4 linked regions of the Drosophila melanogaster genome follow. The protein of the gene in region 1 interacts with the protein of each later gene in a pairwise test. Each region holds a gene or a part of one and is shown in the gene's direction. Other genes may lie near its edges.

Region 1 (4,490 bases):
ACAAAGATTCTAGCGCTTATAGATTATAATCCCATGATGTTGTTTATTGTGATAAAAAAAATATGACATATGATATTGGAAAAGGGTACCTATTTTGAAGTTCTCTGGCATAAACAACAATCGCTGTTGGTAAGATCCCATTAAATATATTCAGATTTCAAACAAAAGAATCATATTTTTCGACGATCCCTTCCTTCCCCAGCAAACTCTTTTCATATTCGACGACTTCTACGTTTTCACCCCATTGAAGCATAAATATTTAAATGAAATACGCACAATTGGTGGCAAATTGCGACGCAATTGGGAGTGACTGCTCTTCAAAAAAAACCCAGATCCATATACGAAACCGAATTCGAATAAATTCGAGACGCAGGCCCCAAAAAAGACGCCAGAGATTAACCCCCGTAAAAGCTGGAAACTATTGCGACGCGACGAAGGTTGTTGACCCAATTTTTGCGCATTTTCAACTCTGCACTTTGACGCACGTGTCTGTCTGTGTGGCATTTGCACGTGTGTATGTATCACATATGTATATGCATAAAGGTGCAAGTAGAACATCGAAAACTTGATTAGTGGGCGGCTGGGCGAAGGGGAGCTGGGGGGCTGTGTGGCATGGTGTGAGGGAAACTTGTGGCAGCAATCGCCTATTTTTGTATTCTTCTTTTTGTTCTGTCTGGAAATTGTCTGTCTGTTCTTTTAGTCGCAATCATCATTTGCTAGCCACTTACGTTGTCCAACTGGATACATGTTTTTGCACTAAGTTAGGTTTTGGTTTAAGAAAAATAATTAATGTAAAAAATGTTGGCTCGTGTTTGCTTTTCGTGTTTTGGTGTAAAATGTAATTGATTGTTTGTTTCTTTGTTGTTGTTGTATTTGTTGTTGCCTTTGCTTTTGGTTTTCTACTAATTATTTTGTTTTTTTTTTTGTTTTTGATTTCAGCCTTTTGCTTATCACACTTTAAAGTAGTTTAAAGTTTTATTCGTTTGGTTGATTTTGCATTTGTTTTGTTTTTTGTTGTTGTAGTTGCGCGTGGGCGTGGCGTAGGCTTATTATATATAAATTGGAATTATGAGCAGACAAGTGGGTGTGCTATCTTGTCGCTGTCTCTCGCTCGACTTGCATTATTTTATTTATATTACTCGTATGATTATTATTATTATTATTATTGTTTGTTGTTGTTATTTTAGTATTGGAAAAGAACACAAATGTAGGCACAGCTTTCGTTTAATTTTATATGTATGTATCTTTTATGTACACACCTAGGCGTGTATATATGTATATTTATATACTTATATATGTATCTAATGCTCTTGTAATACAACTAAGAAAAAATTCTTCTTTATGCTCGCATATCTCGTGAGTGCAATTGTATGCGTGTCTGTCGCTCTGTGTGTGTGTGTGTGCTCCTCCGCATATACAGCAAGAAAATGCGTTTGTATGCGTTTTTTTTTTATATATGGCAGCCCAAAAAATGTGTGCACGTAGAATTCTTAATTTTTCGAGACGTGGTTTTTGTGCACCAAACACGTTCGCGCCGCCCGCTCTTATGCACAAACCGTGGCCAGACTATCGAATTTTGATTTAGCACAACTTTTGTTAGCTTTTCACGCCGCGCATTATGCAAAAAATGCAATTTTCTTCAGCTTTTCCCACAGCAGCCACACACTGGACGTCCACACAAAAATTGTACTCGCGACGTGTGAGCGTGACGCATGCTGTACACTCTTAACCACACTTAAATGAGGGCAAAGCACTCTCGCCCGCAGCCGTGCGAGTGAGCGAGATGACTATACAAGCAGCATCTGGGCATAGCGAGGCAGGGTTGCTAATGCCAGTGTTGTACAACCATCGGCGGTCATCGTGAGTGGGCCCGTTATCGCTATCGTCGCTCAGCTGTTACGTAGCGTGTTTGTTACGTCGTAAATTTTGTGCGGAAAAACCGCAGAGTTTTCATTGCCGCCGTGAAAAAAACATAAATAATGTCTGTGCCTTTCAGTGGCGCATTGCGGCGTTCCGGCGGCATTGTGTCCGCCATTGGCAAGCAGCTGAAGAGCGTGAATTTGAAGGGCGTCAAGCGGATAACCGTGCAGTTCGATCCATTCGCGGAAAATGTCAAGTCCACACGGTGAGTCGGAAAAGCGCTTTTCACCGATATCGATAGCGGGACATGCGCACTACACCCCCTATTCACCACTCAAATTGGATAGAATTTTCACGAAACCGAAAGGAAAAAGAAAATCATACTAAGAAGAAACTGAGAAAAACCAAAAAGGGTGCAGTGAAGTATTCACACCAGAAAAACCGATCCTTCGAGGGCTAAAAAGGTGATGGGGTTGGGGAATGAAATAAATGCGTGCCACACTCACCGTAGACTTTCCCAATGATGCCCACGGTGGAGGTCATCTGGAGATCCGGAAAAGTCAGCGGCAGCGTGTGCGGATGGAGCTGAGCTGGCCCACCGGGAGCCAGCTCACGCTCCGTGGACATTTTAGTCGGTGTCGGCGTCAGTTTGAGGCGGCGTCGCTGCTCCTGAAAAATCAAGTAAATCGTGATGATAAATCAATAATCTAGATATCTATTTCAATTCTAATTTCAGGGAATTCCTCTTCCTGCTCTCCACACCCAAAGTGGCAGCTACGAATCCCAAGTGCGTGGTCAAGCCAGAAATCGTCTGCGATCGCCAGCCGGCCAACATCAAGTTTGCCCTGATTGATTCAGCGCAAGGTAAGAATACCTAAACTGGGACAGCTGAAATATCTAACTAAAAGGAACCAAAATACATATGAAATATGTATTGAAAAATTGGTTTCCTTTTAGCGTGGGCAACTAAGTTAACCCTTTTGAAACTGCAACATTCAAAGAGCAAACACTTATTGATATTATATCATTCACAGAACAAGCCCAAGTCAAGGAGATCCGCTTCAACAGCGATAACCTAAACACACTAGAGCTGCTGCAGCTGTGCAACAAGCACGTGTCCAGCTTGGCACCGCGCGAGGAGATCACCAACAAGGTCCTGACCAAGGCGGAGAAACAGAAACTAGCAGGAGGCGCCGGCGGCGGAAAGAAGGCAACCAAGAAGAAGTAACCATCAGGATGGTGAGGAAGCACAAAGGAACACTGGCGGTGATCGAGAAGATCTACCAGGATATACCCGCATTCTCCGACATCTTCACCGAGGAGAGCTTCTACATGTTCGCCTTCTGTTTCGTGTGCGCCACCATTCTGGTGGCCTTCATTCTCTCCCGGTTCATCACCATCAAGCCCGTCGATTTCTAAGCCAATTGTATTGTTCAATTCCGCACACGTACTTTTCAAAATATATATACGCTCTAACATGTAACAAACACTCCGCACTGTATTGTCTTTTTGGCCCGACTGTGCAAAAGGGCAGCGCTCGATTCGATTCGGTCAGCCTGTCGTTTGTTTCATTTTTTTTTCGCCATTCGAAACCAGTTTTTCGGTCCCTGGCAAACCGGAAAATCATCTGCTCCTGCTGCTGCTGCAGCGGCTGCTGTTTGCTGCGCTTGCTGATGTCAGCGGATCGGAGAGCCGCCTGCCGTCCCAAAGCTTATAATCACAATGGGGCGGGAGGAGCCAATGGTAATTGGACCGCAGGAAGTCGACCAAATGGGCCATGCAAAGTGGACGGTGGACGTGGCTGGGGTGGACCACTACAGACTTGTTCATGAATTGTGGCATTAATTTGTTACTGCTCCAAGTGAATGATCATCTGCATTCTTGTAATGACAACAAGGATGCAACAGGCAGTGGAGAAAGCTTCTCTGTTGCCAAGACAGCTGTTGAGATGAATTGAAGTCTTATTCTAATGGGGGAGCAAGGAAGAAAGTGCACTGTGCAGTTCAAGCTTTGAGCTAAAGTTTTGAAATGGCGCGCTCTAAATGTGTGAATATGTACGTATTTGCGACGAAATCGATGGCTGCAACTGGCAACAATCTGTTGGAGTGTGGCAGCTGCAAAAATGGTTGGTGAAAGTTGCCCCAAAAAGCTGCGGCACCCTGTGATTAATAGAATTCTGTTCAGAGTGCCCCCAAGTTCAATGTCAGGCTGCAAGCTTTCTCCCCGCCTGTTCGCCAGCCGTTTTGAAGGAGTCACGTCGTAAAAACTTTCACCACCCACTTTTAAATTTTGAAGTTGCGAACGAGGTATTATAGCTTCGATCATAAGATTGCAAATTGGAGCTTGCGCATTAATAACATAGCAAATTTAAGTTTTTGAAACCGATAAGTTTTTTATACTTATAAAACCTTTTTTTAATATGTCGCTAGAAACGTTAAAAAGCTTTGTTTAATTATAGCATAAGTCCTTACAAATTGGTTTTAAATTACTGGTTTTTGTTATAAGTTAGTAACTCATATAAATTTTAACTCCCCAATGTTTTGATAAGATTTTAATCGGTTTAGGATTGGATCATATAATCCTATCGCAATAACTGTATAAAAGGGTATTATTAGTTTGTTAAAAGTTCA
Region 2 (5,749 bases), 6.3 Mb from region 1:
CTTGGCCAATAGTGTGGAAACGGACAAGTTTGGGGTGGTAAAGCACCTAGTTATAAAACCGAAAATCAAAAAAACAATCTAGATATGTGTTCATCATTACTTACTCTATGTACGGTTCCATTTCCTCCATCGTCCATCTCTTTTTAGTCTTAAATAGCGCCCGCATGCGATCGCTTATATTGGTGGGCAGTAACTCCTCTGCCAGGGAGCGTATGCAAGGCTGCGCTCCCTCCTTGTCGCAAATGCCCAGACCTCGTAGGTACTTTAAGTCGCAGGACATGCCCTCGGGCAGTACCTCCTGCCAGGTGCGCATGAACTCCTCGTTGCGAAAGCGCAAACCCGGCTGAAGAATGTTCTGTGCCACAATGCGGGAGACCAAGGACTCCTGGTACTCAAACTTGCCCGGGCAACGTTCACTGGGAATGGTATAGATATCAAACAGCCCAGCCACAACATCCTCTGGAGCTATGCCCTTCAGTGCATTGATGGTCTCCTCCCGTTCCACTTCGTCCAAGGCCCAGGAGTTTTCGCTTATCAAACCCAGCATCATGTTAATAATGCGATACTCGTATTCGTACTCCATCACGCGCATTCGCCCGTCCAGTTCTATGGCTCGATATTGGTTCAATCCCTCCATGAACTGACCGCGGCTGCACTGCACCGTGTCCAGGAGCTGCGAAAAGGTAAAGAGTAGCTTCTGCTCCACGCAGAACTCGTTCTCCGGCCCCGAATATCGAGTCAGCTGCAGTAGTTCACCCAGCTTGCGAAAGCGCGGCTTTATCTCGCGGCACTCGAAGTACTCGTGGAACACCTTGAGCACCGGCCGCTGCTCCAGAGTTCGCGGCACTTCCAGTTCATCCTCCGTGCTGTCATTGAGGCTGCGCTCCAGGGAGGCGTTGGCGTTGCCAGTGCGCGGACTCTTCAGCGGCGAGGTGCTGGTGGCGGCGGCAAACTTGAGGTCCGGTACCAGCAAAAGGCTATTGGATATTTCCGCGCCCTTCACGTCGTACGTTCGCTCATCGGTGCACAGCACCAGCTTCTCGTTCTGGCCACCCTTGAAATATAGCGTCTGGCCGTCGCGGATTTGTCCAAGCATGTGCCCATCGAGCTCCAGAAGGCGCAGATTGTCCGAATCCACGTCCGCCGAGGGAAAGTACAGAGCCTGGGTGAGTTGGGTCAACTGGCGCTCGTCCAGTTTCGCATGCTTCACAATGGCCTTCACATCCTCCGGCGTGCGAACGTAGCTATGGCGGGTGGTTGGGTAACATTATAACTCCTACGCAGGCATACCAAAGGCACTCACAGCTGGGCAGCAGACTCATCAACCTCCATGGATTCCATGTTCGCTGCATGTAAACAAAACAAAAAATTAACCAAAACAATGAGCGGGAAAAAGTAGTGGGACCAAAGCACAGCAATGTTGCTTTCGTTGAGGGTATTCAATGGCCTTTCAATATGTAAGCTTAATGTGCTTGGAAAACATTACAGCATTAATCCGCACACCCTGCAAGGGCACACTCACCGCTCAGCTGATCAGTTATTTAACGGTCGTAGCCTCGGCAAGAACGTTTCTTTTTTGAGCGGAGATTTCGCGAGCACGCGTCTTGTTTTCCGCCGTTCGCCGTGCACTTGGACGCGCACTTTAGAAAGCGTTGACTGCGCCAAAGGTCATTGCTGGGCAAGAGAAGCGTCCAATCGCCGCTGGTGGTGACGCTTGTGGAAAAATCAATTCGGACCAGTGACGGACGTCGAACTTCCAGTTCTCTGACAAGCGGAATCCAGTCAACAACAACATGCCCGTGGGAACGTTTGACGCCTGGGATGCGGCCGTGCTGATCACCATCCTGGTCATATCGGCTCTGATTGGCATCTACTACCGGTATACAGGCGGCAAGCAAAAGACCACACAGGAGTATCTGATGGCGGACCAGAGCATGACCACTTTTCCGGTCTCCTTCAGCCTGATGGCAAGCTTCATGTCCGCCATCTCACTGATGGGCGTCTCCAACGAGTCCTACGAATTTGGTACCATCTTCTGTGTGATCAACATTGCCTACGTGCTGAGTACGCCCATTGCCGCGTACTTCTTCCTTCCTGTTTTCTACAGGATGCGGACGACCAGTGTGTACGAGTATCTGGAGCGGCGCTTTGGCCAGGCCACCCGGCTGTCCGCCTCCCTGGCCTTCACCGTGCAAATGGTGCTTTACATGGGCATTGCACTCTATGCACCAGCGCTCGCTTTAGAAGCTGTAACCGGCATTCATCGGTCAATGGCCATCGTGGTCATTGGACTGGTGTGCACCTTCTATTCGACACTTGGCGGCCTGAAGGCGGTGCTCATCACGGATGTGTTTCAGTCCTTCCTCATGTTTGCCGCCATCTACGCCGTGATTGCCGTGTCGGCCATTAAAGCCGGCGGATTCGCGGCCATCTGGGATGTGGCTGTGGAGCGAGGACGCGTGAACTTCATTGAGTTTTCATTGGATCCCACCGTGAGGCATACTTGGTGGTCTCTGATCATTGGCGGCATGGTCACTTACCTCTCCTTGTATGGCGTTAATCAAACGCAAGTACAGCGACTCCTGAGTGTCCGCAATTTGAAGAGCGCTCAGTCGGCGCTTTGGTGGAACCTGCCCATCCTAGGAATGCTTAGTTTTAGCACCATTTTCAGTGGACTGTCCATATTCTACTATTATCGAGATTGTGACCCTTTGCTAAAGGGACGCATCGACAAGCGGGATCAGATCATGCCCCTTTTCGCACTGGAGACTATGGGTGAGTTGGAAAGACATCCAATAAGAATTAGCATTATTTGATTTCTTTTTCCGGCAGGTCAATATCCTGGACTGTGTGGTCTGTTCGTGTCCGGAATATTCTCCGCCAGTCTTTCCACGATTTCGTCGGCAGTTACCTCGCTGTCGGCTGTAACACTGGAGGATTACCTGAAGCCCTTGTACAAGGCGATATTTAAACGGACGCTAATTGACTCCAAGTCCACGATGCCCACCAAGATTGTGGCGTGCATTTTTGGCCTGCTTTGCATCGGTCTAGCTTTTGTCGCTGGCTCCATGGGCGGAGTTCTTCAGGCATCGCTTACCATTTTCGGTGTGGTAGGCGGTCCGCTGCTGGCCATTTTCACACTGGGAGTCTGCACTACACGCAGCAACCAAAGAGGCGTGCTGCTTGGCTTCCTCGTTTCCCTGATAGTTTCCTTCTGGATGGGATTCGGCGGACCCAAACCAAAGCCAGTTACCTTGGAGTTTAGCACAGCGGGCTGTGAGAATGCCACCGCGGTAATGGCGCGTGCCATCGAGCTCAGCTCAAAGAGCAGCGGAGTGGTCATCGAACCCGACTACTTCTGGTTATATCGAATTTCTTACTTGTGGCTGAGCGTCATCGGCTTTCTTATTGCCGTGGTCGTCGGCTATTTCAGCAGCATTGTGCTGGCTCACTGTGGAAAGGCAGAAAACGCGGAAATCTATTTGGACAAGTCTCGGAAGCAGCTGGACTACGATCTCTTCGCACCCATGCTGTCCCGCCGCTGGCGACGCCATAAAGAAGAACAAGACCAAACTGCCCAGGACGAAACGCTCACCAAACTAACTGAGCAGTAGTTCCGCCCGGCTTAGATTTAGTGTAGAATATATACATACATATAAAAGAATTTCCAGAAGGCGTCGGCTATTTGGTTAGTCGTGTTACGGATGTCGTACCTAAAAGTGCATAACTATGTGACCTTTTTGTATACCTGTGTGAACGAAACTGGCATACAGAGCGACCAAAACAGAGTCTTCCATATACACGTAAACAACGATAATTAGTAGTTATTAGTCGTGTTGCAAATGTTCACAAGCGCATCATTAAGAGGCCTCTTAAGAATAGTCAAATGTTTTTTACAAGAACGTATCAAAAGTAGGAGTCTACCTCAATGAACTTTTACAGAGGGACAATAATCAATTTGGAGCCTAAAAGCGAGTTGGCCGACTACTTTCCCATGTTGAGCATTGGCAGCCACAATGCCCCACATAAATTATTGATTTAGTAGTACATCTAATTTTAATGGGATATTTATATTCATACCTCTTAGTTACTCGATATTTGCATACATAGATAACATAATAACATTACAATAATACACTACAGTGAGCACCGCCTATAAATAGTTACTACATGGCTCTTAAAGCATTACATTGCGCCACAGTGTGAATTCTGTTTACTTATATACCTCTACTATATGTACACAAATATACTATAGACTAATTATATACTCGTGTCGTGTCGCAATCAACCATTGAACAATAACTCGGAGCAGTGAAAGTTATGTGTATTTGTAAAAGCCAAACTGCTGATCATTAAAGAAATCTGTTCTACAAAATGTGATTGCCTTTTTTTTTATTTGCTGCGGAAACATGATACTTGCAATCCCCAGCTGCAGCTTGGATTGAAATAATTACTTCGGTTGGCTCATGGGTGTTTTTCAGAAATCACGATTTGTCGAATACTTCCTGCGATAAGCAAATTCGTACGCTATCAGCTACCAAGGTTATGCGAGGCTCTCCCAACATTGCTCACTCGATGAGGAATCTATTTCGGAACGAATGCCATAACTTTCAAGCGTTTACCTTTGCCAATTGACTATTGCGCCATGCGGGAACAAAGTCTAATTGCGGGTCGGAGACAGCAAATTGCTTAAAATTGGAGAAGCCATGGGTCAGCATGTGAATATGGGTTCGCCTGTAAACAAATGCCAATTGATAGATTTGTCGAAACATCATTAATAAACCCAGACCACGCTCGTCTTGCTCATGGAAAGTTTTCAGAACGGATTGGGAGTTCAAAGTACGAATAGACTCGCATGACACACATTTTTGGCTAATGTTCTGGCGAAAGAGGAGACCAAAAGCGGTGGATAACATAGTTACGCCATAACCGATTTTTGTTTACTCTAACTTAGTGTGCGATTTACTATTTTTAACAATATTTATGTTAACCAACAAGAATCTTAAGGCATTTATTTGTATTCATTAGCAACGTCATAAAATATAATAACCATACAGATTTACATATAAGAGTATCAATTTGGCGACTGATGATTGTTTAGCCTTCATTTTTGCAACGCCAACAGATGATTTGGGCGATTTGTTAGCATTCGGAAGCAAAGCTTTCACAGATAGTTTCGCTGATACGATAAGGGTTTCGTTTGGATAGCATTCATTGAAGTGATTCATTGGGGAAGATTTATGGTTCTATTGATTCTGCTTCCTCACAAACTTCATGAACACATCCTGGAAAGTTGTATGGCTGACCGAGTAGTACAATATCTGCATCTCATCCTTCAAGTTCTCCATGTACTCGAAGATCGCGGACCACTTAATCTGCCCTCTGGGAATGCAGAAGGTGATCATGCCACGGTAGGAGTACTTCTCGCTGGGGGGAACAATTAATTATAATTAATTAAATATATACAACTCTTAGCTCTTTAAATAAATTACAATAACTATTATGCTCGATTGAGATGTAAGGTCATAATAACTTTCCTTTAATCAATCATGACTTTCTTATACACAACGTAAACAAGATTATTTTCATTTCTGTGCCAGTATGCGCGATTTGCCCAGACTATTTATATATGAGTATATTATTTGTAAATAAACCATATTCACATCCAAAGTGAGCAGCAAATGTTTATGTAGATATCTGTGTGCGTGCACTAGTGTATTGAAAATTTCAATCTGCTGTTGCAAGTGGT
Region 3 (5,404 bases), on another chromosome or scaffold:
CCCACTCCAGATGACGACATGGCGACACCGGGACCCATATAAAATCCGCCGGTCTGCAGGCGTCGCACTCAGTTAACATGTTCGCGTCCCAAGGGAAGTTACTTTTGGCCTTTGGCCTTTGCCTCGGTCTCCTTCTAACCATAGCGCACGCATCCGCACAGAACGCGTCCAAGGAATCAGAGTCCTGGCAGCCCATGCAGCCGCGGAAACGACAGGCTATCGTGAAACTGGACCCCGTGGGCTCCGCAGTAGCCAAGAGCTACGATCCTCCCCCGGAGTTCTACCGCGGACCGGGCTCATCGTCATCCAAGTTGGATAGCACTGCAGCTGGCTTCATATCCAAGCCCATTGGTGCGCTGCCGCCTTTTGGAGGAGCTCATGGCTCCCAAGCTAGTGACCTAAATGATAACCTTAGCCAGGCCTATGATAAGTGGAAACTAGGTGGGAATATACACGATCGAATAAGCGTGGGTGAGTTCAAAGATTACTCAATCTATATATTCTACAAAGATAAACTCAAACTTAAAATGATTAATATTTGAAATTGATGACTGTTGTTTATTGTAGATTTCATTAAAAATATATTTAATACTATTTAAGGGCATTATGGCAGCAGTGGAAGTGCTGGCAAAAGTTACGCCTATGACAGTCAACCTTATCAGTATGACTACGGACCATCCAACGGACATGGCTATGAGCCAGGACCTGCTCCTGGGCACACCTACTCCTCCAGCGGAGAGGCAGGGGTGCCATACCACGTTTATCGACCTCGACCCGAACATGGCCACTACCCGGGGCCAGCAGTGGATTACTCCTACAGCTCCTACCCCATCGACTCCCACGAGATAGTCTCCCACAAGGGATCGCCAGAGATCTCACCAAAGGCCTTGCTGGCCAAAAGCTTCCTGATTCCGCTGGCCAGTGCCACCGTTCTGGGCATCGCCGCCGCCCTGGTCAGTAATCCTCTCCTGCTGCAACTAGCTCCTGTTCCGGGGATCGGTGTGGGAGTGGGTGTCGGACCTACAGTCGTTGGCAAACGAAGAAGGAGAAGAAGGGCAGTGAAGCGGGCTTTACGATCAGGGAATACTGATGCAAAACTGAATAGCTCTATCTAAGTACCGTCCTCTCGAAAATGTATTAAATCAGGAAACAATATATAAGATATTATTTTTAATATATCATATAGTTACAAGCGTGTTTTTTATTTAAAGTCAGTGATGGCATTTAAATAATTTTAATAATTTAAATAATTTAAATTAAGGGTCTAATGCTACGAGAGCCTAATAATTAGTTGTCTATATGGAGAGAATAAGATAACGTAATTTTAAGTGACTTGTGGAACCTTTTGTAATGGCTATATGTAAGTTTTTTTTTTACATTAGATTGCGTAATTAGTCGACTGAGGTTCAAACCGGCTCGTTGGTCTAGAGGTATGATTCTCGCTTCGGGTGCGAGAGGTCCCGGGTTCAATTCCCGGACGAGCCCCAGTCATCCCAGTGCGCTAAGGAATGTATAATTTTTAAACAAAAAAGTTATATTTTATAAATATTTATTTTAAAATATTTTTAAGTTATTGAGAATACACATTTAGTTGCATGTGTACACAATTATATACAATTTACTTAGGGAATGAAATAAATTAAAAGTTATTTTATATCATTAAAAACAAACTAAATTAAATTAAATTAAGGAATTTTTTAGCGTCCTCATAAATGTTGCAAAATTGTTGAGTCTTCGGTTTTGTACGGCTTATGTCATAATATATTGAAGATAGAGAAAAAATTTGTTTAAAAAACAGCTAATTTTATAACTACTCTAAAAAATATTATAAAACACTGCATTTAAATGATAAATTAAAAGTTGCTGATAAGTAATACGTTTAGAGTGGGTGAATAGCTTTAAACATTCGGATAAACAAAAAATCATTTTAAAAATCATAAAAATAATTTTAGTTCTATTAAAAAATATGATATCATGGATATTGATCCATACCAAAGAAAACATCGCCGATAGGTGTGTGTCTTCGCTAGGGAAAGTGTCTCCGCTAAGGTATCTTGAGCCAACAAAGTACATAACGCGTTTCATTCCAAACGGTATTTATTTTTTGACCTTGTGGTATTCTAACTTTTTGTCTGTGCTATCACTTACAAACAAGTTTTCCCGGCATTTTCGACCTATTCAGGTGATTTTCTAATAATTATCACATAGTAGGCAATGAATTTTACACGGACTAATTGGTAAGTGACAGAAACTAGTGTAGAATTCAGAAAATTAACCCATGAATGCTCCTCAGCTCGCCGCTGAGTAAAAACCCAGTGGTGCAGCGCAGCCTGGACTTGCGATTGCAGGGCGCCCAAGCGCGGCATTACCTCAAGTGGTGCTCCATAAATGTGGTGCTGCTGTCGCTACTCCTCTTCGACCTCTGGCAGGCATGTCGGTCCGCCTACAGGACCTACTGGTTCCTGGCGGAGTGCACCATTACGACCCTGATTGGCCTAAGTGCACTCGCCTGCTTCGGCAAGTATTTGTGGTTATGGTTTGGTGGTGACCAAGTTACGGGTAGCGATATCCAAAAGTGGCTGCTTGATGGCAAGGCAGGTGAGGAATCCAAAGGAACCCGTTCTAACGCATCCACTTAACCACTTTTATTCCTATAGAGAACTCTTTTCGTACAGTTTGCTCCCGAGCCGTGATGAAACCACGCAGCTACGAACCGGATAGCGATATAGAGGACGACATACCCATCATCAACTGGCACTCCTCCTTCGAGGACTCCTGCTGGGGCTCGCAATCCATGCGCCGCAGCCCCAGTCCCACAAGGACGCCGCAGCAGACGAAACAAAACACCTCTTACAACTCCTCGATGGTTCGAAACAACTCGCTGAATGCCAGCAATCTGAGCAACGAGTCTACCTATATGTCCCCGTATGCGGAGGTGCGACGCGATGACTTCATGACCGATACACGAAAGTTGACCAGTCTAATGAAGCAGGCGGATCGGGAGCGCAGCATGATGGACAGCTCGGATACACCCAATGTGCAGAGCATGGGATCGGCCAACTCCTTCTGGAACTACTGCAACAATGCGGCCTATATGCTCAAGACCACCATCTATCAACTATCGCCACCTCCGGCTGTTTCTACGGAAAATGCTCCCACCTCGATTGAGGAGTTTGGCGGTATTCAGTTTAGGGACAGCAATTCGGAGGTCATCAAGCGCATATCCACGGACAAACTGTCGCAATATGTGGCCAACCTAAGATTTGTAAGCATCCCGTTCAATATTCCACTGCAACGTACTAATGTCTTACCATTTTCTAGTGGATTTCTACGACCATACTTCAGCGTTTGGTCAAAGAGATCAATTATGTGGACGATGTTTTCCGCCAGCGAGCTCTGATTGACATTAAAATTGGATCTGTGAGTGTAGAGAGATTACGCAAAACAGCCGAGAACCAGCAGTTCGTGCAGACGTGTGCGCCCATGTTGCCCATGCTCTTACCTTTCCTGGACACCTTCAGCAACCAGGAATACCTGGTGCAGCGCATCAAGGAGCTTGCGCAGGGCTCTTGCATAGCTGACTACCGCTGGTACTCGGGCAAAACACACAACGGTCAGCAGCGGGACGAGCATTTGCCCACCGATGCAGCTGTGAGTATACGAAATTCCGCAACTGAGCACTCTTGATTAATTGTAACCTCATTCTGCAGATAATATTCCATTTATTTTGCGTGTACTTGGATAGCCAGTTGATGCCGTTGCCGCAGGGCGGCGGACGACCCTTTCACTCCCGCTACGTGTTAATTCGCGACGAGAAGAGCTCGACCAAGGACGTGGTGAACGCAGTTCACAACAAGGCCCACTGCGCCATTTTAAGTACCGGCAACCCACTTAACCCTAAATTTAACTTTATCAGCGACAAAGAACTACACAACTGCGTCTACGATAGGAATAACCTGTTCTACGTTATCATACAGTTCCTAATTTATATGCGACAGCACCAGGACTCTGCTCTGGAGTGCGTAAATCTTGGCAAAAGTGGTATCAACATCATGTGCGTCATCGAAGACTGAACAGTGGAACTAGTGGCTATGACTTTTAATCCCACCCCTAATCACTCCTTACTTCTAAGCATGATCCTTTGTGACTCGACTAGCGTTTGGTGACTGGACAATCCTCATCATTCGTTACTATGAAATTATACATTTGTAATTATTAAGCCAACTTACGACTGTTGTGGTTTCGCGGTTATCAAGTGTCGTGTGGCCTGCGGTCTGTGCAATTAACTTGTTTGGCAGTCGGCGGTAAGCTATATTCGCGGATATGTGCACACAGGTGCCCGACTTTAATTGCCCTTTCATGATTCTCACTATTGACCAGCCAGTTGGTGACCTGGCCATTGGCTCGGCCAGCGACATGCTCCCACATGCTCGCCACTTTGCACTTCCGAAAGTGACAAAATTAATGGTTTCCGCCGACGCTGTCGACATTTTGTCGAGTGAGAGACATTGAGAAAATGCTCCAAAGTAGTGCAAAATGAAGGAGTCGCAAACGGAGACCCCTAAAGCAGGCGCCAGGACGAGCAGGACCTGGGCCCTCTCGACCAGTCACATTACCATTTCTCTTGGCCATGCTCATTTCTGGGCTCTGGCTTGACGTTGAATCGGTTGGCTGGTTATTTTAATGCCGCCCATACTCCCGGATGCCCGGATGGCTGGATGGCTGGCACCTCGGGTGAGTAATGTGCCTGGGTTGTCAACTTTACACTTTTATCCCTCGCATTATATTTGCTTTACCTACACAAACACACACACTCAGCCACCCAACCGAACCGAAGCGAACCACACACCCTGTGTGTGTGTGTGTGTGTGTGTGTGTGTGTGGAGTGATATGTTTTCCTGATACTTTTTCTCAAGTTGTAAATTGGCTTAAAAATAATTTGTCAAAGCATTTCAGCCGCGGAGTCGGGAGACGCGATGCCTAAGATGGGAATTGGAGTTGGAACTTGGAGCGTGGAACGTTAGTATCTCCTTGTGCCGAGCCATTTTCTTGTCACAATATTTGGACCCTCGCCTGCTTGAGTAAAATTCCTTTAAAGAAACGCATGTGCGCGTCTTCATATCCAATTAGAAAAGTTTTCCTTCGACTGCTTCGTAATTGTGTTGATTAGTGCGGCTCGCTGGGTTGCTCCCGAGTGGGTGGTGGCTGGGTTTCGGGCGGATTCTCCTCCTAATACCCTGCTGTTGACAAAAGAAGCCTTCTTTGATGGGTGGTGGCTGGGCGGATTGTGTGTTCCCAGCTGATGGCACTTTAAAAATAAATGCGCATTAAATTCGATTGGCAATCGTCTCACACTCTCGTTGAATGGGCTTTTTCTTTACGGCTTACACAAATTTTCATCTAA
Region 4 (5,580 bases), on another chromosome or scaffold:
CAGTTTTCCTAGGAGTTTTTCAAACTTTTATTAGACAAATACGAGAACGGGACACTTGAAATTACGCTTAATTGGCGGCGAAACAATGCTGAATGCCGAGGGCATTACGGGTATAAATGATAAGGAAAACTCCCTAATTACAAACAAGAATTTTCCGGGTGCGCGCAAAATAGTGAAGGAAATACAAAGAAAAGGGTTGACGAAGATCGCGCCTGGGAACCTAATAACCCCGATTTTCCACCAACTTCGACATTGGAGTTGAAGTTTTCGATAAGCCGGCGATGGAAAATAGATATATATATATATATATATGTGTGTATATGTACGTGTCCCCAAACAGCCATAGATTTTTTAATAAATATTTGAGATGGCATTTTCACTTAAGCCACGGCATGGAAATCCATTGTGTGCAAACAGGAGGTTGGTTAGCAACCCTAAGCGGAAAATTTGTTTAAACAACTGAGCAAATATCGCCCGCTGGAGAGGGGTAACTTTTTTATGTACTCCCTCTTCGCATATTTTTTTTTTTTTGGGAATTTCCCCCCCAAAAAACAAAAAGAAATTGAAAATTGCTAAGCCGGCAATCAAAATACAAACATCAGGCGAAACTCAACGAGTACCATTGTTGTCCAACTGAAGCACCTGAATTTATGGCACAAGGACATACCACCACACACACACACACACACCTCCCCCCCCCACACACACACAACTACCACCCCCCTGGTGAGTCACGGTTTAAATGTGCATTTCGCAACACATTTACGATCCTTTCTACTCGTAATCCCTTCAATCGCGCTCTAAACTGCTAACTGGTTCCTGATTCCCCAGGATTCCTGGTCGCTGGCGCTTTGTTGCTCTAAATAGCCCTTTCCAAATCACTGGACTCGCACAAAGGACTCGCCCTCAATTGCGCAACTATTTCGATTTCAAAAAAAAAAAATCAAATTAAATAAAATAAAATAAGTGAAGAGGAGAGAAATGGGCCAAACTGGGCGCGCAGCCAAAGAGGATATTTAGTTATATATGAAAATAAAGTTTCAAAGGATCTCAACTATAGAATTTGAAGGCACCTATTGGCCTATTAAAACGATTTATACAGATATGTTTCTTTTCGTATTCAAGTAAAGTAAAAAGGCGAAAAAATTAAAAATGGAACAGTAGCTCCAAGATGACCAACGATGACGGTCAAGAGACGGATGCGGGCTCCACAGTCCAAGAAGGTGATATCGTTCTTCAAGAATCATCGCCGCATGCTCCGCAGGCAGGGCATCGAGGATCTGCTGCATCTGGCCGAACGTGGCCACGTCGAACCGATTAGAGATAGAGACTAGGAGATCGGCATCGAATGCTACATATACGGTATTTATTCCACATTTCCATTCAAATTTGAAAAGCTTAGTTTAAGTTCTAGGATTATTGAATTCCTCTTGCATTTAAATATTTTGTAGTCTACTTTTAGCCGTCTTTAAGAACGACTTCAACCCTCTGCTAATCAGAATGTTAATTCTAAAGCTGGTCGCATTTCTTATTAGAATAGCGTTAGATGTTTTGCGTACTCATCAAAAATTTCCCAATTGAATTAATCATTACTTATGCTACTACTTATGCAGCATTGTCCTTCCTGGCATTGACTGTGACTATTACTATATTATTGTAGGAAGGACTGCACGCATACCAAGAGCGCGATAAATAGCGATGACAGCAGCGAATTTTCCCGCAACGAAGCCGACGACCAGCGAACTTAAGCTCTTTTGGCCATCTAAAGGATGGAAACATTCGATATATTAGCCAAGCCGCTAGCCAGTAACTTATATAACCCATATTAGCTATTTCAAGATTTAATAAATTGTTCCGGAGGCCATATATTTAAAAAATGTTGGTTTGCTCATATTTGATTTTTAACCATTACATATAAGGCTGAACAGCTTTTTCTAGCCAGGCTGGCAGCACTGCCGGATCAGCTGACTGACTTTTCTGTGTGCGCGCCATCCCTAGAAATTAACGTGCTAGTGGAAGTGGAAGCGAATTGAAATCGCGCGCTGCTCTATTCGCTTGTTTATGCCAAAGTCCATGGCTACATTGGATCGGATCTGTAATTAGTCGTCTGGAGGAACTGGACGGATTGGCTCAGTGACACCATTAGCCATTGACTTTTCTAGTGAGTTCGAGTTCCACACAATGTTCTATTCTAGCGCAGATATGGAATAAAAAAAAATATATTTGGCTTGGTTTGTTATGTAAAACGCGTATCAATTCTCTGGCGCGTTGATAACAGCAGCAATTCAGTTGATAAACAAACACAAAACCCATGCGGAAACAATTGAAACGACCCCACACCCCAACACCGCCACCCACCACCCACACGCACCTTGGGTTGTCGCTCAAGGTTGCGCTAGAGATGAGCAGGAAGCAGTGACTGCTATCGTGATTGCCATTAATATTAGTATTAGTATTAGTATAGTGATAACACAGTTTTTTATATATATGTACATATATAGTGATACTTTCAGTTGAATCTATATTTTAGTTTCATTATACTCATGTCACCGGTTTTCTGTCAAAGTCACACTGTTCTGCGCATCTCTATCGCCACTATTTGTTACTGACGTTAGCGCCAAATTCGAAATGTCAAGAACAGAAATCCGAACGTAACAGCGGCCATATCGCTTATCTAGCGACGGCGGCAGATAGTGGCAACCTGCTCCTCCGTCTCGCTCTGCTCCGCCCATCGCAGCAGATTTGCATCGTTGTTTGGAGCCATGCGGCTATTTCACCTCTTTCACCTGTCTGTTTGCCTCGTTTCACACACACACACAGCATGCCCAGGAATTGGCTTCACCTCGCATTGTGGATAAACTGAGACGGTAAAGTCGTTGTCGCCGCCACCGCCTCCGCCACGCCCACCAAGCGGACAGCACCCAGATCTCCGGTTGCGAACTAGTAGTGACGCCAACGTGGTCGATCGCCGTCGTCGTCATCAACAACGTTGTGTTCGTCGAACTGTGAGATTATTTAATGTTGGCCACCGGTTTTCTGGCTCGCAGAACCGTACTTAACCAGCCGGCGTTCAATTCATGGAGCACACTCCTCCGGACCGCTAGAAAACGACCCACATCCACGGTTGCCGCCAGAGTTCCATTAAAGCTTCAGTCACAGCAGCAATTTACAAGAGCATACTCGTCGTAAGAATTGAAAGATGTACATACATATGTATTTAACACATGATTGAAAACTATTTGTATCCCACGATTTAGCTCCAAAACCATGGACACGCCGGCGGATGTATTCCGCGGCATTACGGATCGATTTGCCGGAGTAACAGTCGATGGGCGCGAGGAGAACGTGGACAAATCCAGTTTCCGGGACAAGCTCACAAGTAAGAATATATATCTTAAAATATGTCGGTATCTTTGCCTGGACGTATATTTTTTGTATCATTGTATCTTCTAAGTCTTCGTGCTATCATAAGTTGATTAAAAGTTTATCTATCTAAAGTTGGGGTACTAAATTAAATTTCCAAAATCATTGCTCTCCACTTTTATCAATTTAAAAGTTGTCTATGACTATAAATAGTCATAGACAATAAACGGCTTATAATTTTAATTAAATCTGTGTCACCAATTACCAAATTATATTAATAACGAAATACCTTTTAGAATCCCTGGACTTTTGGACGACGAACAAGAACCGGGCCATTTGGTTCCGCGTGTACAAGGAGCAGGCTGATTGGGTGCCCATTCTGGCGGAGAACGGCTTTGATTTCCATCATGCCAAGACCGGTGTGGTGGTCATGTACCGCTGGTTGCCGGAGCACGAGTCTAGCAACCTACCCACCTACGCCCACACGCTAATGGGCGTCGGCGGACTGGTTATCAACGAACAGGACGAGGTGCTGGTGGTGTCCGATCGTTTTGCAATGATACCAAACAGCTGGAAGCTGCCCGGCGGCTATGTGGAGCCGCGGGAGAATCTCATCGATGCGGCAATACGAGAGGTGGCCGAGGAGACGGGAATCCGCACCGAATTCCGCTCAGTGGTCAGTCTGCGGCATGCCCATGGCGGCACCTTCGGCTGCTCCGACATGTACGTGGTCATCGCCCTAAAGCCACTGAATTTGGACTTTACGCGCTGCGAACGCGAGATAGCGCGCATCCAGTGGATGCCCATCGCGGAGTATCTGAAGCATCCGCAGGTCCACGAGACGAACAGGCAGTTCGTCTGCACCTTTTTGGACTACCAGAAGCGCGGCCTGACCCTCACCTGTCGCGACGAAGTGCATCAGGTGCTAAAGAAGAAATACAATCTGTATTACGTGGATCGGGAGCAGCCACAGGAGCAGCAGGATAAAAAGAATTCGTGAGACTTGTCGGTGCAATGGCCAAATCCTTAGTGCAATTTTTATAAAGTCCTTTCTTCCAAAAGCCAGCAGCATCACAACTGCGCATTCAAATGTTCACAATGTAGTCAATAAATGAATTTTTTTGTATATAATTATATGCATATATCAATTAAAGCTCACACAGCCTTTTACAAAAGCTTTTCTTTTGATACCATTTTTAGAAACGCCAATAATTTAAAATATGGCATTATTTTGAATATGACGCCCAAACATGGTAAATACTTCCTTAGAAGGTAAGCCAATAAGGATTAAGGATGTAAGCTTCATACTTTGAAAAATATGTTTATTAAAAACAAAAATGAAAAGAAATTATTATTCTCTCCTGTTTTTTTCAACTTATTTTCAATGATATGCAAAAACCAGAAGTCGCACAAATGAGACGAAACTCGCATACGTAATGATTCTAAAAAGTTGTGGTTTGATGTACTATAATTTCCAAACGAAACATAGGCCATTTATTGGGTCAAGTTGATTTTAAACTCTTTGTTGTACGAATGCCATCTATAGACCCGTGGCCTCGGATATCGGCCAGATGCGGCAGAGCACGCGGCTCCGGATGAGGCCCACCGGAATGGGTCCGTAGTAGCGGGAATCCGAGCTGTTTCCCTTGTTGTCACCCTCAATCCAAACGTGTCCGCGCGGCACATAGTCCTTGACCATCACGGGCTTCTTCTTGTCATCCGAATTACCACTAAACTCCGCCTCAATGGGAATGGGCTTCTGGATTAGCACCTGATCACCGGAAACGGCCACGATACGCTTGCAAATGAACTGATCGGCTTTGATGGGCGATATGGCGATGACTATGTCGCCGGGCTGGTAGGTTCGCCAGTGTTTCGACAAGCGCTCGGTGAGAAGAACGTTGTCCGAGTGCAGGGTGGGCTCCATGGAGGGTCCTTTGCACTGGAAATGGTTGCATTAATGTGAGTGTACGTACTTTTCCGCAAAAGAAGGATATCAAGTGGAAGTTACACAAGGTGGAAAAACAAGTGGAGAGTACCTTAATGCATTCACACGAACTATGTGATGCTGGCACATGTTGGGCAAGTATACCCGCCCAGGAACTTCATCCTAGACGCCTTACCAGGACGAAATCGCCAATGTACTCGAAGGTGCAGTGTGTGATTGCCGCGTAGGCCACCGTGTAGCGCATCAGGCGACCCAGACGGGAGAGGATT

Evidence for each region.
Region 2: the proteins of CG33155 (region 1) and CG10444 interact in a two-hybrid assay, tested with the Drosophila melanogaster proteins (one large-scale study listed by BioGRID).
Region 3: the proteins of CG33155 (region 1) and CG6479 interact in a two-hybrid assay, tested with the Drosophila melanogaster proteins (one large-scale study listed by BioGRID).
Region 4: the proteins of CG33155 (region 1) and CG8128 interact in a two-hybrid assay, tested with the Drosophila melanogaster proteins (one large-scale study listed by BioGRID).

What each region holds. Positions count from the first base shown.
Region 1 is NT_033778.4:13,952,321-13,956,810, forward strand, and holds CG33155 (uncharacterized protein), read left to right. Parts: upstream 1-1,874; 5' UTR 1,875-1,979; coding exon of another isoform or gene 1,980-2,125; intron 2,126-2,177; exon of another isoform or gene 2,178-2,366; coding exon of another isoform or gene 2,367-2,487; exon of another isoform or gene 2,488-2,541; intron 2,542-2,596; coding exon of another isoform or gene 2,597-2,724; intron 2,725-2,894; coding exon of another isoform or gene 2,895-3,088; 5' UTR 3,089-3,096; coding exon 3,097-3,279; 3' UTR 3,280-3,344; downstream 3,345-4,490. Other genes in the region: AGO1 (Argonaute-1), read right to left, coding at 2,367-2,487; mRpL53 (mitochondrial ribosomal protein L53), read left to right, coding at 1,980-2,125, 2,597-2,724, 2,895-3,088.
Region 2 is NT_033778.4:20,270,283-20,276,031, reverse strand, and holds CG10444 (uncharacterized protein), read left to right. Parts: upstream 1-1,532; 5' UTR 1,533-1,793; coding exon 1,794-2,775; intron 2,776-2,832; coding exon 2,833-3,614; 3' UTR 3,615-4,379; downstream 4,380-5,749. Other genes in the region: CG11788 (uncharacterized protein), read right to left, coding at 1-46, 105-1,244, 1,304-1,341; CG8908 (uncharacterized protein), read right to left, coding at 5,247-5,427.
Region 3 is NT_037436.4:17,335,990-17,341,393, reverse strand, and holds CG6479 (uncharacterized protein), read left to right. Parts: upstream 1-2,131; 5' UTR 2,132-2,214; coding exon 2,215-2,237; intron 2,238-2,257; exon of another isoform or gene 2,258-2,282; coding exon of another isoform or gene 2,283-2,293; coding exon 2,294-2,598; intron 2,599-2,657; coding exon 2,658-3,265; intron 3,266-3,321; coding exon 3,322-3,651; intron 3,652-3,710; coding exon 3,711-4,073; 3' UTR 4,074-4,222; downstream 4,223-5,404. Other genes in the region: CG13727 (uncharacterized protein), read left to right, coding at 78-471, 601-1,115.
Region 4 is NC_004354.4:15,695,503-15,701,082, forward strand, and holds CG8128 (uncharacterized protein), read left to right. Parts: upstream 1-1,991; 5' UTR 1,992-2,161; intron 2,162-2,530; exon of another isoform or gene 2,531-2,820; 5' UTR 2,821-3,018; coding exon 3,019-3,185; intron 3,186-3,257; coding exon 3,258-3,379; intron 3,380-3,659; coding exon 3,660-4,363; 3' UTR 4,364-4,532; downstream 4,533-5,580. Other genes in the region: CG9240 (uncharacterized protein), read right to left, coding at 4,904-5,305, 5,487-5,580.